Linked DNA regions of Bombyx mori. The protein of the gene in region 1 interacts with the protein of each later gene in a pairwise test. Links are inferred from orthologs where the notes say so. Each region holds a gene or a part of one and is shown in the gene's direction. Other genes may lie near its edges.

What was found.
Region 2: the proteins of U2 small nuclear ribonucleoprotein auxiliary factor 2 (region 1) and splicing factor U2af 38 kDa subunit interact in binary tests that used the Drosophila melanogaster proteins (3 or more experiments, as listed by UniProt). The link is inferred for Bombyx mori from reciprocal best matches to the Drosophila melanogaster genes U2af50 and U2af38.

Annotation. Positions count from the first base shown.
Region 1 is NC_085123.1:10,731,955-10,734,459, forward strand, and holds part of U2 small nuclear ribonucleoprotein auxiliary factor 2, read left to right. Parts: intron 1-640; coding exon 641-725; intron 726-1,465; coding exon 1,466-1,597; 3' UTR 1,598-2,312; exon of another isoform or gene 2,313-2,314; intron 2,315-2,505. UniProt on the Drosophila melanogaster protein: Necessary for the splicing of pre-mRNA. Binds to the polypyrimidine tract of introns early during spliceosome assembly.
Region 2 is NC_085118.1:11,668,300-11,672,418, forward strand, and holds the start of splicing factor U2af 38 kDa subunit, read left to right. Parts: upstream 1-1,319; 5' UTR 1,320-1,575; coding exon 1,576-1,619; intron 1,620-1,847; coding exon 1,848-2,002; intron 2,003-2,535; coding exon 2,536-2,693; intron 2,694-3,917; coding exon 3,918-4,117; intron 4,118-4,119. UniProt on the Drosophila melanogaster protein: Necessary for the splicing of pre-mRNA. Binds to the polypyrimidine tract of introns early during spliceosome assembly.

The DNA of each region.
Region 1 (2,505 bases):
ACATTATTCTTCATAATGTAATAAAAATAAATAAATAAAATAGAAATAAGAATAACTTCCTGATAAACTATTCACATTTATTTAAGCTTTTTTTTAATTGTTACTGCATGGAACATAAGTACAAGTCATATAAATGAAACAACAAAAATGATTTCTTTCATAGACTTCTTTCTTTTTGAAAATTATAGTTTACAATTTTAATGGAACTCTTTTTTATACTCAATCAATTTTTTTTTAATAAAAAAAACCTTTACCTGTGTACCTTAACAAAAATTCGCGAAGAAATAACATTGAGTAATAAAATCAAACCTGCAAAAATCCCAATTTGTGTGATTACCTGCCTAGGTAGGTCCCACAATACTGTCCATTTCTGCCGTGAAGTAGTAATGCGTTTCGACTTAAAGAATAGGGCAGCCATTGTACTGTAAAAACTGAGACTTAAAACTCATGTCTCAATGGGTGTGGCGGCGTTAACGTTGTTGTTGTCTATGGGCTCCGGTATCCACCTAACGTCAGGTGGGCCGTGGGCTCGTCCACCCATCAAATCAATAACAAAAAAAGAATTAGTAATGTAATTATTACTGTACATTCCTAGCTATAAAAAATGAATATGAGACTCACTAAAAATATGGTATTTCAGGGAGGAATGCAACAAATATGGTGTTGTGCGTAGTATAGAAATTCCAAGACCAATTGAAGGAGTCGAAGTACCTGGATGCGGCAAGGTAAATATTTATATTTAAAATTAATGGTTTGGAAATCATAATTGAGTATGTCTTACTGCTTCTATGTACTTTTAGGTCAAAATAAATTAGTTGTACAAATTGATATAACAAGCTCATCAAAATATTCTCATATTTTTAAACTGAGATAAATAATAAAAATAAAATTATACGAAATAATCGAGTCTATAAATGTAGCTATAAGAAATAATATGAGATGATTTCTACAAAACTCAAATATCATATTATCATAAACATGCCACACTTTAAATTTCTGTCGTGAAGTTTTCATTTAGGAATTAGTAGGAAAGTCGTTAAGTACATACACTAAACAATTGAATGTTATAGATACCTCATATCTCAAGGTAGGTGGTGACATTCACATTGTAATAAACCAACATAAGAGAGGTCCATATATACGACTATGGAATTTATTACTGGTGGTAGGACCTGTTGTGAGTCCGCACGGGTAGGTACCACCACCCCGCCTATTTCTGCCGTGAAGCAGTAATGCGTTTCGGTTTGAAGGGTGGGGCAGCCGTCGTAACTATACTGAGACCTCACAACTTATATCTCAAGGTGGGTGGCGCAATTATTTTGTAGATGTCTATGGGCTCCAGTAACCACTTAACACCAGGTGGGCTGTGAGCTCGTCCAACCATCAAAGCAATAAATAAATAAAAAGACTGGAATAAACGAATAAAATCCACATTTTTTTTGTTAAAAAACGTTTTTTTTATCAGGTATTTGTCGAGTTCAACAGTATTGCAGATTGCCAGAAAGCGCAGCAGACGCTCACAGGACGCAAGTTCAGTAACAGAGTCGTCGTCACATCCTACTTCGATCCTGACAAATATCATCGCAGAGAGTTTTAAAGATATATTTTTTTTACCGTCACTTCAACTTCGTCCTGTTGCACTAGCGTGTAAGAAAATGTTCAACATTGTTTTTGAAAGAAGTTTAATTTTCATTAGTTTACATTAAAAACATATAAGAACAAATTAAATTTAAAAATAAATGCTTGTAACGATTCATTGTAAAAGTGAGTTCTTAACTACCAAATGAACAGATTTAATTGTGATCTACTCAATTACGACTGATAATTAATTTTACAAGTTCTATAAATTGAAAATGTCACGTTTTGTTGAAAATAAAAGTTTTTTTTTTTTCACAAGACCTATACATGACACATGCTAGTAGCACATTCAACAAACGACAGAGATTAAATCTATCAAAATGCATGTGAATTGGAGCATCATGCTTTTCGTCACCAATTCACTACAACTGACATGTTAAGTATTAACTAAAAAGTATATTGCGCGTTTGTAACTGCTATGAATAAATAAATTTATCTCGAATCATGTGTTTTTATTAAAAAGTTTCAAATTCGAATCGTTTTAACGTAGGTACATTATAAAAAAAAAAACTGTAGTTTTATACTTCTTGCTGCATAGCAGGTTGGTAAGTATTCAGTGAACCCGTTTCCGAAGATAGAACGAGTTTCCTCATAACTACATATAAGACGCCACCGATGATCAACATTCCAATTCCAGCCATCAAGCTAATTGCCCACGCGGGAACCGCATTGCCACCTGTAATAAAATAAAATGAATTTTGAGCACGCAAGTTGATTGATTATTTTAATCAACCTACACAACACGCGATCTCTATAAAAATAAAATAAATTAAAATATAAGAAATTTGTGAATTTATTTTCATGTTAGCGCCCTATAGTTTGATACGAAGTCAAGACGAAAATGTTTTGTGACTACTACTGACCAAT
Region 2 (4,119 bases), on another chromosome or scaffold:
GGTACTACTTATTGTAAGCATGCCTCGAAAAAGATCCAACCTCTCCCAGTGCAGTAGGAATGCTAAAAGGATGAAATTAGTTTGATCACAAGAATCTGAAGCAGGTCATGAGGCAATACTCACTACATCTCAGGAACGTCAGGCGAGGTTTCGTGTTAGAGAAACTTCGGCTCAGCGAGAATCTCGATTGAGTTCACATTGTTCTCAAAAAAGACCACTCGAATTAGGGTGAAGAGGGAACAGCGTGACGCAAGTTTGTCCATCGATCGTGAATCTTATACACTATCGCGTGAGTCTGAGACTTTCACTGATAGGGAATCCCGCCGGAGCTCCTCAGAGGGTTTGGACAGCAAATTCCCGGTTTTAGGAGACACTTGAAGAACGAGAAACACGTCTTACTGCCGATCGCGAGGCACATGCACTATCGCTTGAGTCTGAGACCTTTACTAATAGGGAAATCCGTCTGAGCTTTCAGAGGGCTCGGATAGCAATTACCTGGTCTCAGGACACACTTGAAGAACGAGAAGCACGTCTCTCTGCCGATTGCGAGGCTCATGCACTATCGCTTGAGTCTGATCCCTTAATTGATAGGGAAATCCGTCTGGGCTCTCAGAGGGTTCGGACAGCAAAAGCTTGCCCGGTCTCGGGAGACACTAGAAGAACGGGAAGCACAACTCACTACCGATCACGTTTCCATTGAGCCTATACTTCGTGATGATAATAAATAAAGCCCAAGGTCAGACGCTAAAAGTTGTGGGTGTAGATATAAGTGTTAACTGCTTTTCACACAGTCAACTCCGTCACACGGTTATGTAGCTCTGTCACATGTTAGCAATCCTAGCAATCTGTATGCTTTGATCCTCGATGGCTATACGTCATATCGTGTATAGAGAAGCATTACTTTAAATTAGATTTTTCTAAATACCTAAATGACGGTGCTTATAAACCAAAATATATGTCTTAAGACTGCTGCCCAAAGTCACTATTCCACGCGGGCGGAGTCGCGGGCACAGCTAGTTAACAAATAAACAAAAGAGAGCAAAGTTTCTAGCACTAAAATAATTACCACCACAGGAAGTTTATTCGAAACGCGATTTTTTATAAGTTAGCAGCTATTATCTTGCGTATTCAGAGTTGTTGTGTGAAATTTCAACATTCTACTATTAAACTACAAAAAATGGAAGATTTTGCAACGAATTTAAAACTAATATTGAGCGTCGAAAGATTTTCCTGGTTTTTTCCTCAATCACCTCTTAATCCCTAATCGCCCCATTTTACGGTACCTAAGCGTTGGTAGGTAATAATTTTACTGCCGGAGAGTGTATGGAGTTTATGGCAACATTGCAAATAAAGCCAATTTTTAATTTCAGAGATTTCATGGACTTTTCTTCGGTATTTTAGATATACCAGTAGCATTTGACATGATTGTCTTAAATAGTTAAATACTAGTTATAATTAGAAATTTTAAATGATATTTTCACATTGTTATCTGAATTATACGTTTAAATACCTACATTGGTGATACATCTGCTGACAATATTGGTTTGATCCGGTGTTCGTTTCTACGATATAACAATGGCAGAGTACTTGGCTGCTATATTTGGTACAGAAAAGGATAAGTAAGTTCGATTTGCAAAAATATTTAAATTGTTAAACATTGAAGTAAATTAGCGCCAAATATTTTGGATCAAGAGGTTATGTTTTGCGTGTGTGTCAGTAAAAATTCGAACCCGCTTTGATAAGAGCTTTATACACTTATTTTTTTTACTAGAGCTATTACCATTGCTGATTATTTTTTTAACAGAGACTAGGATATTATTCTACATAAATAGCTTGTGAAATTTCAGAGTAAACTGTTCATTTTACTTCAAAATTGGAGCGTGCCGACACGGTGATCGCTGTTCACGCATTCATAACAAGCCAACCTTTTCTCAGACTGTATTACTACAAAACTTGTATGTAAATCCACAAAATTCTGCGAAATCAGCCGATGGCAGTCATTGTAAGTATTTTTCATTCATACTAAGTTAATTATTGATCATGTGGCATTGAATTCTTTCTAAAAATTCTAAATGTTATTCTTTTTAAATTCATAAACGGGGACAAAAACGGGGAAGTGTAGGAACATAACATAATTTAAAAGCAGTGGACAAGGAAAATACGTTTCTGAAAGAATATGTACAGTCCAGCCTTAGTTTATACATTACGTGTTCATAAAATATGAATTAATTAAAATGACATAAATTTATGCTTAGCTTTCTAAATGTATTCACACATTATTCATTAAGTCAAAACCTATTTTGGTTTTGGAGAGCAGGATTCTTTACATTTTACATTGTAAATAATTTTTTTTTGTGATAGTATTATAATTTTATTGATTATTTATGATTGAATATTAAACAGAAAATGAGTGTCATTACTTCATTGTTTGAATTTATAAAGTATTTTTAAAGCTAAATTGTTTGTACTTCAATTTACAATATCAAATAATAATGAAGATAATTTTCAAATGAATTTATTTTATTTATAAAACAGTGGTTGTTGCCAACGTGTCTGATGAAGAGATGCAGGAACACTATGACAACTTTTTTGAAGATGTATTTGTTGAATGCGAAGATAAATATGGTGAGATAGAAGAAATGAATGTTTGTGACAATCTTGGGGACCATTTAGTTGGAAATGTTTATATTAAAGTAAGTATTTTTAAATTCTATATATATATTTTTTTAATTACAGGACTACTAATTAATATAAGTGCAAAATGTACTTGTAACTTAATCTTGAAAAGAATGAAGGTTGAAATTTTAGTCTTTCTCATTTCTTCATAATTCATTTTCATCTTTTAGTGTTTTCAGTTCTAAGCTAAGTAAGCATAAACCAATTGAGGTTCTTTTTGATTGTGTAAGATATATTAGGCAAGGGTATTACCAATGTTTAAGAGAAAGGTTTACGGTAGTTTTAGTGGTTAAAAGTGCTACTTATCCGACCCAGGTGAAGGGGCAACGCAAAGTCGCCGTCGTCCAGAACTTGTCTTGTCGGATCCCCCAGATCCACTTTCGGTCCTTTTAGACTCCTGAAGCACCGATCACCGTCGTCGCCCATCTTGTGGATTACGACGAAGAGTTCGACGCGCGAACTAACCCGTAGACACGGCCCACTGTGTTTCTCGGCGGATCTTCTCAGTGGGTCGCGATTTCGATTTGGTTGTAGATTATGAAAATCACTGCTCTTGTTAGGGCTAATGTTAGCAAATTCACTCAGGTTGAGCCCACTGAGCTCACCTACAGGTCCAGGCGTAGTTGGAATAGTCCCTTAGGCTACCAACGAATAGGTTTTTTTTATGGCAGCGTCAGATCATATACCTTGGGCTTCCATAATACCATAGTTAAAATTTATAATTATGAAATCAGTTCTTTACTTAAATTGTTTTGTTACATTTGTAGTCAAATAAGCTCTGGCTACCAAATTTTAAGTGATTACATAGATATCACCACATGAATGCTGTCACCCTCTTTGGGACATGGGGTCTTAATCTCATGTTATTCTTTCATAATGGAAGTCACCTGTCAATTATGTGTTTCACAAGAAAAAAATGTACTTGCCTGTGAAATTTGAACACCTGCATAGTTACTAAGGTCAATATTAGGCATTTTGTCATTTACTAGCAGTGTACCAGTAGACAATGGTCTTATGATTTAAGCGATAATGACATCCATGGATCTTTTACTTCTAGGTTTAAAATTTGGTCCCTGTTTAAAGCCATGGCAAAAATAGTACACAATTTGCTCTATTACCAGTTGCCTAATTAAGTAGCTATTATGGAAAATAGTGTATAAGTTTAGTTTATTTAAATTACTTATTGATAATTGTACTCCTGTATCAATAGAAGTTAGAACATTATTAAAATTTCGTTTCAGTTTCGTCGAGAGGAAGATGCTGAGAAAGCAGTTAACGATTTAAATAACCGCTGGTTTGGAGGCCGGCCAGTCTATGCAGAACTCTCGCCGGTGACGGATTTTCGCGAAGCATGCTGTCGTCAGTATGAGATGGGAGAATGCACCCGAAGTGGATTTTGCAACTTCATGCATCTGAAACCTATTTCAAGAGAACTGAGAAGGT